3 linked regions of the Mytilus edulis genome follow. The protein of the gene in region 1 purifies or fractionates together with the protein of each later gene. This does not show direct contact. Links are inferred from orthologs where the notes say so. Each region holds a gene or a part of one and is shown on either strand. Other genes may lie near its edges.

What was found.
Region 2: the proteins of zinc finger-containing ubiquitin peptidase 1-like (region 1) and replication protein A 14 kDa subunit-like purify together in Homo sapiens (affinity purification with western blotting; 3 studies listed by BioGRID, with this or other methods). This does not show direct contact. The link is inferred for Mytilus edulis from reciprocal best matches to the Homo sapiens genes ZUP1 and RPA3.
Region 3: the proteins of zinc finger-containing ubiquitin peptidase 1-like (region 1) and E3 ubiquitin-protein ligase UBR5-like purify together in Homo sapiens (affinity purification with mass spectrometry, with the first as the bait; 3 studies listed by BioGRID). This does not show direct contact. The link is inferred for Mytilus edulis from reciprocal best matches to the Homo sapiens genes ZUP1 and UBR5.

The regions. Positions count from the first base shown.
Region 1 is NC_092353.1:22,636,578-22,644,312, reverse strand, and holds the start of zinc finger-containing ubiquitin peptidase 1-like, read right to left. Parts: upstream 3,015-7,735; 5' UTR 2,867-3,014; intron 343-2,866; 5' UTR 340-342; coding exon 1-339. Other genes in the region: uncharacterized protein, read left to right, coding at 3,349-3,610. UniProt on the Homo sapiens protein: Deubiquitinase with endodeubiquitinase activity that specifically interacts with and cleaves 'Lys-63'-linked long polyubiquitin chains. Shows only weak activity against 'Lys-11' and 'Lys-48'-linked chains.
Region 2 is NC_092351.1:62,143,841-62,151,879, reverse strand, and holds the start of replication protein A 14 kDa subunit-like, read right to left. Parts: upstream 3,073-8,039; 5' UTR 2,996-3,072; coding exon 2,909-2,995; intron 1-2,908. UniProt on the Homo sapiens protein: As part of the heterotrimeric replication protein A complex (RPA/RP-A), binds and stabilizes single-stranded DNA intermediates that form during DNA replication or upon DNA stress.
Region 3 is NC_092355.1:19,654,568-19,662,225, forward strand, and holds the start of E3 ubiquitin-protein ligase UBR5-like, read right to left. Parts: upstream 3,049-7,658; 5' UTR 2,928-3,048; coding exon 2,866-2,927; intron 1-2,865. Other genes in the region: sialin-like, read left to right, coding at 6,768-6,927, 7,596-7,658. UniProt on the Homo sapiens protein: E3 ubiquitin-protein ligase involved in different protein quality control pathways in the cytoplasm and nucleus. Mainly acts as a ubiquitin chain elongator that extends pre-ubiquitinated substrates.

The sequences.
Region 1 (7,735 bases):
TGAGCAATCCATTGAACCTAAAATACCATTCGTTGGTTTTTTTACATCTTTTTCTATCGGACTACAACAACCGCTATCACTAGTCCCCTCCTGAAATTCAAAATCTGTCCCACTAGCACCATCAGGACTAAAACATTCGTCTAAATGAGCTTTATTGATATGTAGATTCATTTCATTGGCCGTGATCCCTCCCAAATCACAAAATGGACAATATACTTCTTGTTCAACATGCTCCATCATAACATGTTCTCTCATCTGAGGTTCTGTGAAACCATTCTGACCACAAATTAAACAGGTAAAGGTATCATAGTCATCATTGCTTTTCCCACCTTCAGCCATTATCTGCAAAAAAAAAATATCCAAAATTAACAAACTTATGAAATACTTATTCCTCACTACATGCACTAGTTATCTCATATCAAATGAATTGAACAAACTAATTCTAAGACTATGAATAAAATTTTTCTAGTCATTTCAGTATCAAACATGTCAAAATATCAAAAACATAGTTTAAAATTAGTAACTTTTAATCTGTATAACACTTTACAACATGTACAACTATATCATGTACATCATGAACATGTAACTGAACTGTGGGATTGTTTTTCACCTATAGCAATTCTTAAGGTATATGCATGGGGTAAAATTTCACCCATTCTCACCGCCATTGAAAGATCTAAGCAAGACTTGATTATTCAGATGTTTTTTTAATAATGACTAACAAAATACAACTGGCATCAATGTAGTGACATTACGTAATACATCAATGTCCCAAAGGTTTATGAGTATAATCACAGATATTACAGGCAGATCCAGAGGGCCTTACGGGTCCAAGGCCCCCTCCCTTTGTGGGAAAAATTTGTTTAATTATATATAGGTAAAAGCCGAAGCTTGACTGGAGTGGGCCCCCCTTATAAAAAGTTCTGGATCCTCCACTGAATGGTGGTCAATAATTCTAAAGCTTTTGCATGCTAAAATAACAATTAAACTTGTGATCTATAGCATTTCCAGATGATGAAAACAATGAAAAGAACAACATTATCTGCAAATGTAAGCATCACTAGGTCATAACCTTTACTTCATGACTATTATAACAGTTGTTTATGTGGAGCAGCAGAATTGAGCATTAAAGGCTACAGTGAAATCTGCTGTGTCTGAGTGATGATACTGGTATACATGTACATGTACCTGATTTTGTGCTTTCTGCAATGTTACACAAATAAAATTAGTCTTCCAAATGAGGAATTATTATGAGATCAATTGATGTAAATGATGTCATTGAACAATCAGTTCTTATTGTGACATTATCAGATTATACGTAGACTAACATATACATGTACACATGACATATAAAACATTGTGACATAAAACATGAAAGGGAAAGTGCAAAAATTACAGAGAAGCCCATGATGACTTTATCATTTGTAAAAGACCTTTTTGCTATTTAGGAATCTGTGACACCTGACTATTTAGGAATCTGTGACACCTGACCTGAGAATTTGCGACACTTGAACTTTCGACATTATTGAACAATCATGTAGTTCATATTCATCATGTTCATGATAATTTCATGATATTTGTGGCGTCAGTATAGCACGTACTGTATCCCTATAGTCTGTGACTTTTGATACTTTGATATTTACATGATTTATTATTGTATGATATGATTGGTACTACTACTAGTACAAATTATTATAAGGCACTGGCTACGGTTACCTGGAAATGTAACCATGGTGACAATAATAAAAATATTATTGTTACATTAGAGACTAATTGCCGTAATTAATCGGATCCTTACCCAAACCTGTATTTTGGCAATTAGTCTCCAATGTTACAATAATATTTTTCATTATTGTTACATTTCCAAGTAACCACGTAGCCAGTGCCTTATAATAATGTCTTGAAAGGGCTAACCTATTATTATTTTTTTTATTTGATGTTGCTGTACATGCTGTAAGACGACTTAGCAATAAAATATAATAGCCTCTCAGGCCATAAAAAAGAATAGGTTTGTTTGCCCAAACGCTACCTACCCAGAAAAAAGCTGCCTACTCAAATTCTTTTATTGTCCTGATTTGAAGAAGTTTTTTTTTTTAATCAGATAGGCATGAAGACTAATAAAAACCAGATACTTCAATTTCTCTATTTGAAAAAAAAAAGAAAATGCCTACCTACCTACCCACTGTCTCAACCTTTGGGTAGGGTTTGGGCAAACCAAAATAATTTTAATTGTGGCCTCAGGACGTCATAATTATTTGGACTAGACCCAACATTATACATTTATTTCCCGTGCCTGAGGGAAATATGAAGATTTGTTCACCCAAGAAATATCATACCAAGGGAAATGAATGTTTTATTCCACTGCCTATACTTTTTTTTTTACTTATACATAAATTTACATAATTGTTTTCTTATTCGTTTTGTTTTAGAACTATAAACACAACATACAAAATGATAATCAGTACCTATTTAAAGTTAATTAATTGTTTATTCTTTTCTATTTGCTTTTAGATTGAAATAATTTTTAAAATAAACCCTATCAAAATATTTTATTAAAACATTAACCGTGGGTAACGTCGCACAAGGCAATCTGGACGTTCAGAGGGGAATATATGATACTCGGAGGGGATAATAATAATAAATTTCCGAATTAGATACTCACAGGGGAATATGATGTTTTGTTCGATGTCACGTGTGAGAGTTTCAACCAATCAAATGTTGATTTCGCTATCAAAATCAACATGCAATGGAATAAAATATTTTGTTTAAGTTCTAGCATATGACAATGTTGATAAATGAAGAAAATATTAAAAGAATTTATCCCTGATTCAACCAATTTCCATTTTTTAAATGGACCTTGTTATACCTTTAAATTATTTCAGTGTTCCTCTTTCTTTACAGTCAATATAGATTATGGTGTAAATTGTTTAGAGTAAATGAGAAAATGAAAGTAAATTCACAGATTGTGTAAGAAAATTTCTGTCAATTTATTCATAGTGGTACAAGAAAGTGTTGATTTTAATGCGTATATTAAAAACACCCTGCTTACTTATTTGATGATTACAGATAACAAAAGAAATTGTTAAATGAAACTATTTTAGTTGTCTTTTAATAAAAGAAAATAATACATTAAAAACTCTTCTGAATTTTAAAATTACATCACAAAATTATCTACACTTTACCTTATATTTTCCGGAATTTAGTTCCGGACCCGACATGGATGTTACCCATTTGTTTTGATTTTTGGATTGTGCAGCTGGTCAAGTTCACTTCAAGTTTAAAAGTCCAAGAACTATATGGTTTAAAGAACTGATATGATTTTTGTGTCATTATAATTTTTAACATAGAATGCAAAGCTTTCCACTACGTATCTACGCCCATTCACAGGCGTTACGAAGGCTGATCAAACCAAGTTCAAGATTGAAAAAGATATGTCCAGTTCTATATTTCAGTGATCCCCAAATAAGTTACACCAGAGACTATTCTAAGGATACTGGAGGTTCTAGTCAGGAAGAAAACAGTAAAACTGAGGCTGACAATGACACCTCTTCTAACACAGGCGAAAGAGTAAATGTAAAGGAACTCCTTCAGGGTGCTCAAGAAATGGAGAGTAAGAATAAAATATTGTTGGCAGTGTCTGCATGTACCCATGTGCGTATGCAAAAAGTCAAATTGCTATTCTTAGGCTATGTGTACCCACATTCGGTTTTATAATAGAATGCCATCGGATCGACAATTTGCATATATATTTCACGTTTCATTCTATTATAAAACAGATGTGGGTACGTGTAGCCTATGAATGGCAATTTGACAATACGTACCAGCATGCGGGTACACGCAGACATTGCTGATATTGTTTGAATAAACTTTTAAACCTGTTTGATGTATGCTTAAGGCCGGGCCCAGCTGTAAGACTGTTATGTATTGGCTAAGTGGCCGCTAAGTGTATAAATGTGACTTTACAATTCTACACTTACAACAATATTAATAGTCTAAGACAAGTGGTGAGCCGTTTACAAAATTGTGTTAGTGAAGAAGATTTCACTATTCATTGTATTATAGATTTAAGAAGATGTGGCATGAGTATTAACAGTACCAACAGACTGGCTCATCGGTAATGTTATCCCGATTTTTAAAAAGGGCGATAAAACAGATCCAGCAAACTACCGTCCTGTCTCTCTTACATCTGTCCCGTGTAAAATTATGGAGCACATCATCTTTAGTAGCATTATGAACTACCTGGATAACAACAAACTCCTGTCACCATACCAGTATGGATTCAGGAAAAACCACTCGTGCGAACAACAGCTTATAAACACCACAGAAGATCTAGCTAGAATAAGAGATAATAAAAGCCAAGCAGATATACTGATACTGGACTTCAGTAAGGCCTTCGATACCGTGCCACATCGCCATCTTGTACACCAACTAAGGAACAAGGGTATTGACAAGTACACAGTAAATTGGATAGATAACTGGCTTCAAAATAGAAAACAGACAGTACTCCTGGATGGCTGTAAATCACAACCTGCAACCGTACGATCCGGAGTTCCACAAGGCACCGTATTAGGTCCGCTTCTATTTCTCCTATACATCAATGACATTGGGGATAATTTAACAACTGGTACCAGCATAAGACTATTTGCAGATGATTGCTTATTATATAGAGACATCAAAACCAATAATGATACAGAAATATTACAGAAAGACCTAACTGAATTAGAAAAGTGGTCTATTGATTGGAAAATGTCATTTAATCCAAAGAAATGCTACGTTCTACAGACAACACATAACATCCGTAATAGAATTCTAAGACCATACTTCTTACATTCCACTAAGCTGGAACTAAAAGAACATAACCCATATCTAGGGGTGGAGCTGGACAGCAAGCTCAATTGGAACCATCACATTACCTCTAAAATTAACAAAGCTTCACAACAACTGAACTTTGTCAGAAGAAATTTATATAGATGCCCTCAAGAAATTAAACAACATGCTTACATTGCTTTGGTAAGACCACATCTAGAATACAGTAGCTCAGTATGGGACCCACATTGGAAGAAGGACATCAAACGGATAGAAATGGTACAACACAGGGCGGCAAGATTTGTAACTAAGAACTACAACTACCAACCCGGCTCTATGACCGCAATTATACGATCTTTGAATTGGCAGACTCTTGAAACGAGAAGAACAGCAAATCGCTTGATACTATTTCATAAAATACTGTACCACCAAGTACCCACAGAAATTCCGACATACTACCTCGTCAACAATAGGAAAACACACAGAGATCAATATGGCTGCCGAGCAGTTAACACCTTAGAAAGTTAGCTCCCAGTTTTTGCAGCTTTATGACAAATTTAGGAAGACACTGTCTGTGAATTTAGTACTATGTGATAGCTAATTCAATGGAGATTAGAATGATATAATTTTTGTGGAATATTTTCAACAGGAATAATTTTGTGACTTGTGAAAGATTTTTTCCAGAAGGATCTATTTTGATATTTGATTATTGATTTCTACTACTAGAGGTGACAATATATGTACAGTATGTCTTCAGGGCAAAATTTAGCTGGTTTAAAATCAACAAACAAAAGACCTACTACTAAACCTGTGAATACTGTTCAGACATTGCTTGCAGCAAAAGTAGATAAGAATAAACCACCACCTAGTAAACGAACTCATTCAGACGTATCTAACGAATCAAACAATAGTTTAGACTTATCTGGCATAATGAACTTTCAAAAGGATATTGATGAAATTAAAATCAAACTTGAAGGTGTGACAAGGAGAGAGGACCTTGATAGAGTAACAAAAGATCTGATTAAAACTAGTGATCTTGAGCAAGTGGTTACTTTAATTGTCAAAAAGCTGATGAATGAATTTGAAATAACTGTACAAAAGAAGATTGATGAAAAAGTGGAAGAAGTTAAAAATGAAATGCAGGAAAAATTTGATGCTTTAACTATAGAAAATGAAGACCTGAAAAATAAGATACAAGCTATACAGTATTCCAATACAACAATTAGAAGAGACTTAAACGAAACAAGTCGACTTTCAAGACAGGCTGATATAAGCAGCAATTATAACGAGCAGTACTCGAGAAAAAATAACATTAAAATAATAAATTTTCCAAGAAAGGATAAACAAGATCTTAGAAAGGACTTTATGGAAACTGTGAAAAAAGAACTAAATGTCCAATTAGAAGACAGAGATGTGGTTGCAATCCATCGTATACCATCCCAAAAGGCTGGGCCCTATCCAGTTATTGTCAAGCTATTCAGTAGTGATGTTAAGCGCCAAATTATGAGATGTAGGAAAGAATTGACCAGTAAAATTAGATTTGTGGATGACGTTACTCAAAGAAACATGAGTTTAATTGAGAGACTTAGAAAAACTGACGAGTTTGAATCTGTCTGGTACTTTAATTGTGGAATTTATGGTAGAACACCTGCAGGACTTCAGCTGAAATTTGGACTATATGATGACATTCATTACAGAGTACAGCAAGGGAAATAGATGTTACGTAATAAGAACTTAGACCTCACGGACAGTTTTGAGAATTCTATAGTTCATTGTTAATATTTGACTTAATATTTGTGCTTATCTCCCTTTCTTTGTATAAAAAAATCGGAGTTATCTCTCTTTTAACTATAGATCATGTATAGTATTGATTTTCTTTCTACAATACATATTGATGTTAATTTTTTTTTTTTTTTTGTACAGATAATCTTAATTTTTGTTGAACTATTATTTTGTTGGTGTCATATAAGGCAAACTGCATAAACTGACAAATCCCAACTACAATGTGGCAAAACATATTGAAATATTTATTTTTTTTAACACTTTTTTTGTCTGTTAATTTTATTTTTTTCTATGAATTGAATGTCTGTAAAGTATTGAATTTCACTGTTGGTCTATGTACGAGGCTTGGTAATACATGTATGTTGAGAATTTTTATACCACCATATCTAGATGTTTTGAGCAAATCTTTGCGTATATGTCTTTGTGTCTCATGTGAATGTATAATATGGATGATCATATGTAAAAATGCATGCCTATATGAAATGATGATGTACACATATTTCAAACCATTATGGGCTCTTTAAAGATACTGTCTGTTAACTGTCAGGGTCTGGGTGATTTATCTAAAAGGAGGGATGTATTTAGTTTTCTAAAATCTGGAAACCATAACATTTATTGTCTTCAAGACACTCATTTCACAGTGGATAAAGAAAATAGTATAAGAACGTTATGGGGATATGAATGCTACTTTTCATCCTTTTCTTCAAATTCAAGAGGTGTAGCTATTATGTTTAAAAATAATTTTGAGTGGAAAGTCCTTAAAGAAAAAAGGGACATTGATGGAAACTACTTAGCTTTGGATTTGGTTGTAGATAAAGTTCGTTTTACTCTCATAACTATATATGGCCCAAATACTGACAGTCCATTTTTTTATGAGCATATTATGTCAATTATTGATGATTTTGAAAATGAGTGTTTTATTATCTGTGGAGATTTTAATCTTGTGTTAAATCCAAATTTAGATTGTTATAATTATTTACACATAAATAATCCTAATGCTAGAGACAAACTATTAGAATTGATTGACGATAGATCTCTAGTTGACCCCTATAGGGAACTTTTTCCTGACTTGTGTAGATACACTTGGAGAAAAAAATCACCTTTCAAACAAGCTAGGCTTGATTTTTTCTTATTTTCTGAAAACATT
Region 2 (8,039 bases), on another chromosome or scaffold:
GGTCTAGCGGGATGGCTGCAGTGCAGGCGATTTGGTGTCACGATATCACAGTAGCATGGGTTCGAATCCCGGCGAGGGAAGAACCAAAAATTTGCGAAAGCAAATTTACAGATCTAACATTGTTGGGTTGATGTTTAGACGAGTTGTATAATTTCATTGTTATGGCTTCCTACGAAGACAGGAAATGAAAGGTCTACAAAAGAGGGGGGGCGGTGCCACAAGGTGCCACAAGAAGCCACACATCAATATCAACAGTCCCTACGTATATATGTATAAAGATACTAAGCTATTATTAATGGCAATGAGTTGTTTGTTTAACACTTCATTACAGAATACTTATCTTTATAAAAATCAAAAAAAACATGTGGTCAAGTTATATACTAAACTTCTAACTTGTATTCAAATTAAAGGAAATTGATGCTGTTAAAGTAACTAGTGTTTCCTGCAGCTTTTAAAAAGGGCAGGGTAATTGTTAGCTCAGAGGGCACATTAAGCGCGATGGACAACAATTTTAGGGCACTTAACATAAACAGGCAATTTCTATAAAATGGATTCATTTAAAACATACTAGTTTAATACTATAAAAAGGACATATACATCTGTAATCAATCATTAAAACAAATTGTTAAACAAGAAAAAGTGTTTAAAACATATATATATGAAATATTTAAAACAATAAACACAATTAAAAACAAAATCAGTTCTTTAAAAACAAGAAAGCACTATGTCATATACATGTATATAAAAATATTGCTTTGGTCATATCAATTGTCATTGACAAATCCTCCTTTTTTCCCCTAAAAACAGGTTGACACATTCCCTGATATCCAGGGTCATTTTTAGTAACCAAAATTTATTAAATTACAAAAAAAAATAACTTTACAAATTAACCCCTTTCCCTCTACACCCTTTTCCAAATTAAATTAATATAGATACAACAAGTTTTACTACTTTCATGGCACTACCATATCAGCTGTTTATTTCAAATGTCTATAAATAGCCAGATATAGTTGTCTGTTACTTAGGTGTTTTCCTAAGTATTTTTCCCGCCTAAAATGATCATGTGACATGTTTGTAAACAAAAGAAAACATTTGATCAAGGAATTCATTTATTTTCTGGATTATTCTGCTTTTTATAATTTAGTTTGGATTTTTATTCATTTCATTTAAGGTACAGTCAAGCATTTGTATTTAAAAAATAGTTTGCAAAGAATTTTTACTTTTCAATTTGACAAATGTCTCATGATCGCCGTTCATTGGCTTGTTCAACCATGCAAACAATGTAAATTATGTAAATTAGAAATCTATCAGCTTTAAAAAAAAATTATCTAAGCATCACATCGATGTTTTTTAATTAATCTTCTATGCAAAACGATGTTTCTGGGACTTGGGGGATACAATCAGGACCCGTGATTAGTGTCTGTATTCACTATTCAATCTATTGCAGTTTGCTAATCAGCTGATTACGAAATCGATTACAAAATGGCGACCTAGTGAACTTTTGTTTTGAAGGGAAATAACTCGAGCGGTATTCATAAAATATGTCTTTCAGTACCGGTTGTTAATTACGACGATAAGGCATGGCGTCAGGAATTTCGACAAAATTAGGGCAGGGCGCTAATTTTTTTTCCCAAAAAGGGCAGGGCGTTGAGAAATCGCGGCAGGGCGCCATTACACGCCAAAACCACCTGTAGGAAACACTAGTAACTCACATCTCTAAGAGATATAAAACAAAAATAATTACAACAAATCCTTAAAAACATGTATCAATCAGTATACAAGCATGTACATGTTCCATTTAAATGTTTTGCGATTTATATCTAAATTTCCAAAACTAGTTGTATAAAATGAATTAAAAAATGTCTATTTCCAAACAAATATCTATTGGGAATGTTTCCCAATATATTCATATATATGTGCGGCCTTATGACCCAGTGATATTGTTTGGCTCAAATAACAGCCGGAATTCGGCCTTTTCCCCTAGAGAAAATTCCCAATTACTGAAAAAAATGGCTTAAAATTCCTCCCAAAAAGTTTTACATTTTCCCCAAACAGTGATGGCATTGGTAGTAATGTTTGTAAATATCGTATTCATGTTATCATTTTGATATTAGAAAGCACTTTTGAGATCAGGTTTTCTGATCAGAATCATCATGGTGTTTGTAACACATGTAGTTTTCAATGCATTGTAAGTACCATCGTTGCTTCTGTTTCTTTCCCCTCTCCGAAAGTATCTTTCAGGTTGAAAATGTCTGACAACCAAAATATACATGAAAAAACAGTGCAAAAAGACAGCAAAGGTCAGGAAAAAATCGGAGATGTGTTCAGAATAAAATATACAAATTTCCCAATTTCAATAAAAAATATGCATTTTTCCCAATAAAAAACGGTAGAGGTAGTTTTGAAAAAAGACAACAATATCACTGTGACCATTTCGATAAAAAAATACAAATTAGGAATGTTTCTCCTGTTAATACATGTATGTATGTGCAGACCCTATGACTATTTCATGCAAAAAATATATATTGTGACTTTTTTTCCTGTGACCTTTTTTCCTGTGACTTTTTTTCCGTGACTTTTTTTCCTGTGACTTTTTTTCCTACATTCGAAATCAACTAGTAATGGAACATTTTTTTAAATTTTTTTTTATAAGTGGGGTCTATAAATCAATATGAGTATAAAAGGGGGAAATACATGTGGGAGTGACTGGAGGCCAATAATTGCCAGAATTCGCGAAATCTTTTTTCCCCTGGTGGTCCTTGAAGAAAATCTGCAGGTCCTCACTATAAGCTTTATTAAAAAATACTAAAATTGTGTCAGTCTACGCCAAATTTTGGTGGTGAAAATTATCCTGAGGACCACCACTTTTCGCGAAGTCTGAATAATAAATTTGCGTTTGTATCCTTACATTTTTTACTTTTCCTAAAAGACAAACGTTTCTGCCTCTGTGAGAAGGTAATTTTGAGGCATTTACACGTGGTTTTGAGAATTCCATTGTTGAATGATGAATCTTTCTTCTTCTATGATGACTATTTTCTTTGCAATCACCCGCGCAATTTTACACTGGTATCCTTTATTCTAAAACCTTTAGGTTGAGCAAAGCAAGAAATAAACTTTAAAAAGTAAGGCAACCAGAACAAAAATATCTTAGTAACACATGTGTTTGAAATAATTGGTATCATTTCGGTCCATACCAAGCTCGCCCGAAGCTTTATAATACGCCCATAGAAACTCGGACCATAACATATCAGGATACCAGGAACATGAAATGTATATTGATATTTACTGTTGTTTACATAACAAACTAAGCATACAACAGAATATTACCAGTAAGATGATGTATAGAACTAGAGGCTCTAAAGAGCCTGTGTCGCTCACCTTGGTCTCTGTGAATATTAAACAAAGGAAGCAGATGGATTCATGACAAAATTGTGTTTTGGTGATGGTAATGTGTTTGTACATCTTACTTTACTAAAAAGTCTTGCTGCTTACACTTATCTCTATCTATAATGAACTTGGCCCAGTAGTTTCAGTGGAAAATGTTAATAAAAATTTACAAATTTTATGAAAATTGTTAAAAATTGACTATAAAGGACAATAACTCCTTAGGAGGTCAATTGACCATTTCGGTCATGTTGACTTATTTGTAAATCTTACTTTGCTGAACATTATTGCTGTTTACAGTTTATCTCTATCTATAATAATATTCAAGATAATAACCAAAAACAGCCAAATTTCCTTAAAATTATCAATTCAGGGGCAGCAACCCAACCGTGAACGGGTTGTTTGATTCATCTGAAAATTTCAGGGCAGATAGATCTTGACCTGATAAATAATTTTACCCCATGTCAGATTTGCTCTAAATGCTTTGGTTTTTGAGTTATAAGCCAAAAACTGCATTTTACTCCATGTTCTATTTTTAGCCATGGCGGCCATCTTGGTTGGTTGGCCGGGTCACTGGACACATTTTTAAAACTAGATACCCCAATGATGATTGTGGCCAAGTTTGGTTTAATTTGGCCCAGTAGTTTCAGAGGAGAAGACTTTTGTAAAAGTTAATGACGACGGACGACGGACGCAAAGTGATGGAAAAAGCTCACTTGGCCCTTTGGGCCAGGTGAGGTAAAAAAGCAATTTTCAATCAACATAGAAATTTTCAATCAAAATAACAAATTTAGTAACAATTTAACAAATAAAAACTTTCGTCACTTTATCAGATAGATTATTTCATATTTTGCTATAGACTCACAGCCATGAACTTTGGAGAATATTTGTTTTACTCTTTATTCTTAAGATATGTCTGTTTTCTGTTTTTGTCACTATAATTTGACTAGAAGGTACTTTTAGTAACAATAACAATGCTGCATAGTATGATGATACTAACATTTGATGCTTTAATCTTTTATGGTAACTTATATTAGGTTACTGAAATTTGGTATTTATAGCTCTTTTCTGTTCTTCCTCATTGTTATCTTTCCGCCTGTTTTCTAAAAGGTGCCCATATTCAACTATCATAGTATAAATGTGTTCTCATTTATAATTTTATACTAAGATGAAGATTTTGGCATAAATATTCTAAAAAAGATTTAGAACATGTCTTAGTAGAGCGAATTCGGACGGAGTTAGATTTATTTACCTCTTTCACGTATATATATTAAGTGAAATGTTAGATTTTTATCTAATACTATGCATATTTCATTCTCTTCTGTGCATCTGTTTATGTCTTGACCTGGTGCAGAGTTATACTGTACCTGTGTCTCTCGAGTTTATACTTTATCAAAGTGCTTCATTTTCAGGGTAGAATTACGGGACCATGTATCACTTTAGTTTTCTGGTCAAGACCTTTATTTTCGATACATCATCGGTGGTCACTCTTGTCTCCTTTGGTCCTGATGATATTAATATCACCAGCAAATCACAGACGTTTGTGGAATGGACCCCTTTTTTATTTTTTATCTTTGGTTTTTAAATTGTATTTAAGAATTTGTTTTTCATGTAACTGTTTTAACTTATAATGACTTGTTTTACATATTTAAGGTGTTCAACGTCATTTCAATGCGATTTAACCCAAAAAAATCCCATTATCCTTATCTTCTTCTTTTTATGGCACCCTCAACGGAGTTGGGGTGACATATTGTTATTGTTCGTTTCTTTTTTTCTTATATTTATTCTTCCACACTTTTTTGTCCATGCTATTTCTCAGAATTGGCTTGAACAATATTGATAGAACTATACCATAATGAGGACCACTATATGAAATTGTGCAATCGGGGTATGGCATCATCAAGATGGCTGCCGTTGCCATGGAAACTGATAAAATGTAAAAAAAAAATGCAAATTCTAAATCTTTCATTATAAGACCTAGCTGGATGAAACTTTATGGTTATGTTGGCAGTGGTGCCCTGAGGTACCAACAGTACTTAGCTTCTGCAAAATGGCTGCCATTGCCATGGAAACTGGAGAAAAGTTTAACATTGACCTTATGGGAAAAAACATAAAAACAGCATTTTCTTAAGGAATATCAGACAAAACTCAAAGAAACATCATGAATATGTAACATTGCATAAGTCAATGTTGCAACTGTAACATTGCATAAGTCAATGTTGCAACTGTTGTTGGAATTTTCGAAATGGACACCGTTACCATGGAAACAGCAAAAATATCAAAAAAATTCAAAATGGTCCAAACTTAATGAAACTTATAATAGATGGTAACTGACAATTGGAGATAGGACTTTGGACCTCAGAATTTCCAAAATGGCCGTCGTTGCCATGGAAACTGCAAAACTGTAAAAAATTGAAAAATGGTCCAAATTTGATGAAAATTTACAGAGAAATACATTCTTATGTCTTAGTGTGCATTGACTGTTTAAACTTTCAAAAAGGCTGCAGTTTAGAGGCAATGTGGGAAGGGTGCCATCCGCTATTGCTTGCAATGGCAAATCTAGTTTATTACTGATATTGTATATAAATACTAAAAATAAAAAATGGGGGTCCACTCCACAAACGCCTGTGCAGCAAATAAGTAATCATCTAATTTAATACAATCTGGAAGGTCATTATTGCAAAAAAACAAATCACAGGGCGGGGGGGGGGGGGGGGGGGGGGGGGGGCTAATACTGCGTCTGGAGGTATTCCCGAAGTAACCTCCTTCCAGTCTGATGTTTCATAATTTACAATTTAACTATTCCCTGTCTAGATGTTAGAAAAAGTTTTCAAGCTTCTTAAGAGGAGAAGCAAAAGATACCAAAGGGACATTCAAATCCATAAGTCGAAAATAAGCTTACAACACCTTGTCTAAAAAAGATTAAAAAAAAAAAGCATACAAACAGAAAATCAAATCATAAAACTGCTTTTAAGTTTAAGAGTGCACATGCTAAAATGTCTCGCCTGTCTTTCTTATCAATGAATTTATGTTGAAAGTCTGTTACATGATGGTTTTATAGACTAGTATCACATAAACTTAACATTGACAATGTTCTATGATATTAAATGGGGTCAGATGAATCATGCCAGAGACAGACAGATATGTATGTATAATCATTAAATACACCAACTATAATCAAATACCATTCAACCATGCACGAAAATGAGGTCATGGTCAGATGATACCTGTCAGACATGCATACACTTTACAATGACCCATACAATTATAGCTGACCTATCGCGAAGAGTATTTGCAAAACCGACAAAACACCTAACATTGACCAATGAACCATACAAATGAGGTCAAGGACAATACAAGACATATATGACAGACGGAAACTTCGTAACATAAGGCATCTGCATACAAGGTACGAATCATCCAGGTCTTCTATAATAATACCTTTTGCAATATAAAGCTTTACTCAACTAGTTTGCCACCGCCGCCGGATAGCAATACCTATCTCTTGCATACTTTGACTTCGTCGCAGGCGAGACAAAAATTGTTAGATCTGTCTTCACATCATGACAACTTCCTAGATGACCATATGCCTATGTCGTTCTCTTCAATGTTTCTGCTGATGGCTTAATTAATCTTGTGTAAAGTTATTTTGTACATTCGTCTACAGTGGCGGATCCAGAAATTTTCATAAGTGGGGGCCCACTGACTGACCTAAGAGGGACCCGATCCAGTCACGCTTCAATGATTTACTATATAAGCAACCAATTTTTTTTCCCAAAAAGTGGGGGGGGGGGGGGGGCTCTGGTCTATCAGTGAATTTCGGTATCTTCCACTTTAATAAAGTGCTTACATTTTTCTTAATTGATGGAAATTAAAGAGCCATGTATCAGTTCAGTTTTCTGTTCTAGATCATAATATGCAACTTAGCATTGATTGTCACTCTATAGTTTATTATTATGATCCTTCCAATCTGATGTTTCACAATTTACTGATACTCTTTGTTGTCAAATTGATCTTATTTAAAATATAGATTTCTGATTTCTTTATACTCGTGTGTAGTATAACGAAATCAGAGATCTATATCTTAAATAGGTTGCATTCGTAAATCACTATTACCTACTCTTATACTTGAATTTTATACAGCTTCATATGGCTTTGAGATTTTTCTTTGAATTTTCGGATAAACCTTTTCTATTGTTTTCTTTAACCTATGTACTAAGAATGTTGTCATGTTTCATACTCTGTTGTATTCTGTTTTAATATTTATAATAATATAAAAATTAAAAAAAGCCTTTCAAGACGACATAAGTAGTTGGACTAGCTAGTGAAATTCAAATTCAAATTCAAATATCTTACTAGTAAGTTATTCCTAATTAAAGGGCCCATAAAGAGCATATACAACACAAATCACAGAGTTCATACAAAATCCACATAACAACACATGCAATCTAACATACTGATTGTTATTAGTTATATATGATTAGGAACAAATATGGAAACATGAAAATAAAAATATATGAAAATGATAGGAGAGATCCAGGAGCCTGAATAACTCTTTTTTTTTATCTGAGTTTTTGTCTCTTTTTTCCTGTCCAGAGGCGGATTTAGAGGGGGGGCAGAGGGCCTGCACCCCCCTTTTTGGGAAAAATTTGGTT
Region 3 (7,658 bases), on another chromosome or scaffold:
TTTTGTAATGAAATGCTGCTGTATTTATTTAGCGTTGTGCTTCTGAGTTTGTCTAAAATTTTTATATCTTGACATTGTGTGTATATATCAGCCCTCAAAGTAGCCTCTAAAATGAAGTTGCCAACTGGCCACCAGACATGAAAATTTAGTGGCCAACTCAAACATAGTCAAAACTTCAGTGGCCAGGAAATAATTTCAAGTTGCCTACAATTTTTTCTATTTACACAAAAACAGGCTTGTAAATTAAAAGTATTACGTTTTTTTGCTGTCTAGTGTAGAAAATTGTTTGTATAAATCCACCGTAAAATAACCACATGATTTATTTAATTTTATATTTGTTGTACATGTTTTAAATCAGTCTGCGATGTTAACCAGTAGTTTGAAGCCCCAGACTAGTAAAAATCTCATCAGACTTGTGCAGAAGCACTTGTGATTGCCCCATCAGTCAAGTGAACATCTGAAATCGTTTTGTAGTTGTAGCCAGTATTTTATTGACTCTATAAGGACAAATTACAAAATTGTCGCCGACATTGTTTACATTAGTTTACTGACGAAATTAAGAACGAGGCTCTACCATGTGCTTTCAATTAACACAATCTATAAATTCCAAGGGTTTTCTTTCAAATGGTATGCAATAGTCAAACTTGTGACTGAGTGCGGAAATATGAAGATAGATAGATCTGTGCCATATTCAGTCGACAACAAATTGCTACCAAATGAACTACAATTACCTGATGCAATTAAGCGCTGACAAGATCAAGCTTAAATCTAAAAGGCTCTTGAAATATAGTATTCATTTGTGTTACTGTCTAGCGCTCAGACTATTTTTTAAAAAACCAGCTCTGATCAGGGCAAAATTTCCGAAAAATTTAAGGTCGCCAGATTTTCAATATTCTAATACTAAGCCTAAATGGTGACCAGTTATGAATTTTTTTTATCACCAATCAGCTTTTAAAGCCGCCCAGGCAACCATTTCAGTAGACTAAATTGAGGGCTGTACATGTAGTAAATACTACTGGTGGAAACATATGGGGACTAAGCAAAGCATAAATAAACAATTCCCACAAACATGACCATGATTACTTTTCCTTCTACTTTGTAGTGACAACCTTCAACACTTTGAATTTTATGTTACTCAGGCCTCTACAATAACTTTTTTTTCAACTTGTCCAGTAGGACAAGTACATACCAAAACTTTTACTTGTCCGAATGAAATTGTAACTTGTCCAAAAAAAAATCTTAATATTAAATAACCTTTTTTGCATTTCAAGTTGATTCAAGGAACAAAATGAATTAAAAAAAAATTGAACAGAATTTGATTTTTATCCTTTGAAATACTTTTAAAAGATATGAGCCATGAACAACTGAATTTAGGTGTGTCACACGACTTAGGTTCTAGCTTTTATCAATGCTAAAGTCTCATCATACTTTGCACATGAGGCACCATCTGATTGGCCTCTAAATGTACACTCATTGGATTTTTATCCTATTTTTTTAAAAGTTGAAAAAAGTTTATTCAAATGCAATCAATAAAAAGAATTTGAGGTATGATTGTCAATGAGACAAAAGACCAAATGACACAGAAATTAACAACTATAGGTCACTGCATTGCAAGTATTGTTTTTTCTACATAAAGATCAAACATGATTTGATGATTTTTATGGTAAATAATAAATTTCCTCATTCTTATTTAAAAAATACGGTATGGACATTGGTATATATTATTATAAAGCAACAAAATAAGGTAGGAAAAGAGGTTCTGATTTGTCTTGGTCCAGAAATGTCTACTGCCTCGCCAAACTGTCTATTAATCATGTCTATGAAATATGTCTCCTACCGTACCCAACTGTCTATTAAACTTGGAGCCGAATCATTTCAGAGCTGGTGACGAACTGTTTTTTAAAGTTACCTTATCTCTGTATCTAAAAAGCGCATGGTTGAATGGGATGGTAAGACTGGTTTCCGAGAAAAGTGTGCTTTTTACCTGTTAAAAGTACTTGACAAAGAACCAGTTTTAAATTATCGATTGCAAGTCTGAGTCTTGAGAAATAGAAAGTTTCAATTAGTTTCAGTTTAAAAAGGAAAGATGTCAAACAAATCTTCTTTTCTTGTTTTTTTTGTTAATAATTATACTTTGTTCATCAAAGTTGATTTATTTTCTGCAGAATGATTCTACTTGTCCCATCGGACAAGCTTGGTATAGCTTTTACTTGTCCGACCTTTTTTACCTCTGGTACCGGACAATTGGCATGCATTATTGTCGAGGCCTGTTACTTGAAATTGATTGAATAAGCATAATTGGTAAATTGCCAAATTTATTTACACAAATTAAACCATATTTAGTTTGAAATCAATTCAGCAGTATGAAGTATGAAATAATTGGGATAATTTGCAAGAAAAAAAATAAATAAAAAAATTGGAGCTCTGACATAAAATTTAAAAACTAAAAAAGACAAAGAACAATGATGAAAGAATTCCAGAAGTCATGGTGATGAGAAACAGCTTATGTCAGGTTCAAATATTGATTTCATTTTTGTTGTTGCTTTTTGTATAAATTTTTAACCATTTATTTGAGAAATATATTAAAATTCTTCATGTCTACAAAAAGAGCATATACATGTAGGTCACATTTGTCACATCAGCCCAATCATAAACGATTAATACATTTAATGAAACAAAACATTTGGCTTGTGTTAAATAATTTCAGGGCACATAAGGCATTAATCTAACAGTTGCAATTGATTTCGATGCGTAATTTACAGTGACGTCAGAATACCGTAACGCGATAAAGAGCACGTTTATTAAATATTTGATCGTTTCTTTTATCTCGAAGTACCACAGCCCAAGTACGAATAAATCAATTACCTATCGTTCAACTGGTCATCTGTTCCAGGTAAAGGATGGACTATACAATGAATGGATGTCATCACGTATTAAAAATATAAATTATTATCTTTTTACTGGAAATTTTATGAAATTTATTCCGATTTTAAAAGTTAATTGATCTTCGCCATCTTTGAAGAAATTTCCATAAGTCAATTGTTACCTGAAATACGATTGGTTAAAACATATTTACTGTCATTGGTTCCGATTGGGTAGTATTTTTATAGTTTTTCGGCATTCAAACTTTCGGATTTGTACTTAATACTAGGGCTGAAAGTTAGAGGTTATTCCGATAACATTGTAAGTAACAGGTGCTTTCAGTTTCAGTTTACTGCATATTATTTCATAACTCATGTTACATATGTTTTTTGTTATTTACAAACAAATCATAACACAGGGACCTGATTAACATTTTCAAATTCCACTTCTTTTCTTCAAATGAAAAAAATCTTGCAAGAAAGTTGATAAATAGTGGACATATGCTGTTGTTGTTCGTCATTAAGGTTCATCATAACAAACAAACAAATATGGCTGTATTTACATGCCAAAAATTACTCTGAGTACAGACTTACCTGTGAAGTTGGAAAAGTTTTAATGCCTGGCATCCACTAGATATAATAAAGTTAAATGCATTTTGTGTTTCAGAAAGATAAAATCTCTTTTGGATTTTGATGGGCATTTTTTTTCCTTCATGCAAAAGGTGTGAAAATTAACTAAGTTGTAGTACAACTATGAGATGCTCCCTCAGGTAAAAAAACCGGTTTGTATTGTTTGATTGTCCTTAATTGACATGGACTAGAGGTATCTTCACAACTATAGGTGAGTTAAAGAGTTTATCTGAGTCAGTCAGTGGACAGTATCAAAGTAATTCAGGTGTTTGTTTATTTTTACACCTTCTGCAGAAAGGAAAAAAAATGCCCATCAAAAACCAAGAAAGATTTTATCTTTCCTAAACACAAAATGCATTTAAGTTTTATATATCTAGTGGATGCTAGGCATTAAATCTTTCCAAACAGCACAGGTAAGTCTGTACACAGAGAAGTTTTTGAGGTGAAAATTCGGCCATATTTGTCCATTTGTTATGATGAACCTTAACATAATTTATAGACATGTCAAGCTGTCAAATGGTAAATCTGGCTAGATAAGTCTAACATACGTTTTTGTTTGACTGAAGAATTTGAATTTGAATTTCCATCGAATGCAGATCAGAAGAATAAATTCTGCATTGCAGAGAGTTGAGATCTGATTTTCAGAAGATACATGTTCATGATATAGTAGAAATACAATTTCAATAGGATATCTGTCTAATTGTATTGAGCTGCACATATTCCAGAATAAGCGTAACAATCTGGAGGAGATTATATACTGGGTACATAATCTTCATGTAGTTTCTATTGGAGGTTGTATTTTAAAAGCTGCATTTCTTTATTTGACATTTCTGACTGGCATGGGCATGATAGGGTATACATTAAAATCATCCTGAATATGCATAAAATATTTGCCACTGTATGTAAAGCAACAAACAATTAATCAATCAGTCTTTAAAATGTAATTTCTGATATGTTCAGCAGTTGCAAATAATCATCATGATCATGCTTACAGACTATAAAGTCTTATATACAGAATATACAGTCTTAGATGACTAATGATTACAATTTTTGTGAATGACTATACTTCAGGCATCATACCCTTTGTATGGGTAAATGATAAATAGAAAATTAAGTTTGTGTTGAAGCTTGGGGAAGATTCAGGATTTTTAAAGGAGAGGTTGAATAACAAAATTAGTTATATAAAATTAACCCAAACCTCAAATGTTTTTGATGATAATTCTTTATTAAAGTGTCGTATATATTGGCAGCTTTATTAGCTTGAGTCCATTGTTATCCTGTCCAATCATGGGTGTTTTTCTCAAAACAAAAAAATTTAAATTTGTATTCTAAGTAATGAAAAAGTGTCTGAAGGCTGGAATTAACATTGATATAAAAAAGTAAGAAGATATGGTATGATTACCAATGATTCTACTCTAAACATGAGTCCAATTGACACAGAAATTAACAACTAAATGACTCTCTACAACCTTCAAAAATTAGCAAAGCCCATACCACACAGTCAGAATAAACATGATAAAATAATTCACTCATGTCTAATTTATGTCATGTATGTACATGTAGGGAATAATGAATGAAAAACAAATGTGCTACACAGCAACAAATTCAACCATTGAGTTTCAGGCTCCTGACTTGAGACAGGCACACACTGGTTAATATAGTCTGATGGTTTGCTAGTCTATTTGCCAATAACTATAATTGATCCTGTAGTTAGAGATTAACTTTAGGAGGTAAATTCATTTTTAATGACAATGGGAAACTAGCCAATACCAATATCTTTATTCTCATAATCATTGCAGGGGGTCTCTTTGGGGGTTCCGATCCCGGATCCCGCTTACCGTTTTGTCCGATTCCTGTATCCAGCTTACACTATGTACGTAAGCAATTCTCATTTTTTTGTCATTTCCCGAGTCCTGCTAGACCTCATTTACCGTTTTCACGACACAATAATTTGACTTTCATGTGTCACGCTTACAAAAAATTGGCAATCCCGCGTCACGCTTAGACCCCAATGAGACCCACATTGCAGATACTTAGGTACAAAGAGGTAGCAAAAAGTTTATATTTAAATATAGAAATATAACTATATATATGTAATAACACATTAGGTCTCATACCCAGGGATGATTCCAGGTGTTTTCAAATGGGTCCCTTGAACATCAAATTGGGAATTTTTATTCTAATTGGGAATTTTTTAAGCATAAAATCTAAGACGAAATAACATTATTTTCCTGAAAAACAGAAAATGTATATTATTAAGTTTAACCTGTACACTGATGTTCATGTAAGTTGTAACATTTTTAATAATTCTGGTTGGGCTACTGTCACATGACTGTTATTACATAAATATCATTGAACATGATGCACTAGTCTATCATCTTAGCTATAGTTACCTAGGCCTATTACAAAAACATATATTTCAGCTAACATAAACCACTGAAAAAAATCATTCATCAGGTATTTTTTCAACAACAGGTCATCTCTATAAATTTACCTTAATTCAAATGGATTTCAAATTGAACTGGTCAATTGTCGAATTCAGAAAAGCAATTACAAAAGTTCATATACTTAATTGATAAGATATTTAAAGCATTGAACCAGTGTTCTTTAAAATTATTTGGATCATCTTCAAAACTTTTGAAATAGTTCAATAATGATGACATCATATTTCATGAATATTCTATCATCAACATTATTTTCAAAAAACGCTCAAACTGTGGTCTTTTGAGGAAATAATTTCTGTTACAAAACAAGTTTTCATCATATTATATAACCGGCTCTGCTGGGTGAACTGCTTTTACAAGATCGGCGTCCATTTAACCTTATCCATCAATGTTATATCAAAATTTGAATTTGCTCTCTGCCGAGGTCTGCTTTGACACCAATTTTTATCAACCTGCTGGGCGATCTGCTTTTACAAGATCCAAAAGTCCCATAACATATTAATCAATTGTATTCGGCTGCTAAAATTGTTTCCCACATGTTGACATACATGTAATTAAATCGTTGTTACTAAGATGCGATCGTAAACAGCATTCTTATCCGGATTTTAAAATGTTTTGACAACAAACTATATATAAAAAATTATAGTTGCCTTAATTGGTGACAGAAACTTTTCCTGAAATATCGATTTTTATTTTACTTTCCTGAATTGGGAATTCATTTTCATGTACATTTTTTTGGGGCCGCTAAGCCGCCCTAAACAATATAGTGGAATCATCCCTGATACCCAATCAAGATATTAAGCAATAACATGTATTGTCGTTTTACAGAAGTATGGAAAGTCATGATGGAAACCTTAGAAGTGACAGTTCATCAGAGAAAAGATCAATTCTACCTCCTGCAGAAGAAAGTCATGATGTCTGTCCAAGGCAATGGGCTTTGTCAAGGTTTCCAAAGAGATATATTGTGGCAATAATGGCATTCCTGGGCTTTTGTGAGTTAAATGTTGTAGTTAGATATGTTTTTATGCCCCTGCTATAGTGGAGGGGCATTAAGATTTACCCTTGTCCGTTTAAGCTTCTGTCCGTAGGTTCCAACGTTGGTTTCTGTTCTCTAACTTTTGTTTGCCTTAACCAAATGTTATATAAATTATACACAATGATTATTACTATTACAGACAGAATAAGTTCGAAATTTGAACTTTAACCTTTTTAGAGTTATGCCCCTTTTAATTTTAGGTAGTGACTGTACATTGTTTTAATATTATACATAGTGATGGTACAAACATGTATGTAATTTTGAAAAGTTTAAGCAAATGGTTTCTGCTTTATTTATTATTTATTAATTACTATAGCTACATGTACTTGTTTTAGCTTTCAGCAACAGATATTTCTTAATATTCATTCATGTCTATAAAAACAATGTGTCTTGAAAAAATATGCTTATGTTTCACAAATAACATAAAACATCCATAGACTGATTCATGTGTAATGGCATGGATTGCTCCCAGGCAAAAAATACTCTTTTATCAGTATGTTAATTTATATCTGAACATCTTATTTTCATAGATCATGTAATACATATATACCGGTGATAAAAGTAATCAAAACTATAAGGAAAGAAAATGCAGAACAATAATTTTACATTTATGTTTCATTCTAGGCAACATATATTCCCTAAGAGCTAATCTGAGTGTTGCAATTGTTGCTATGGTTGCCAAGAAGG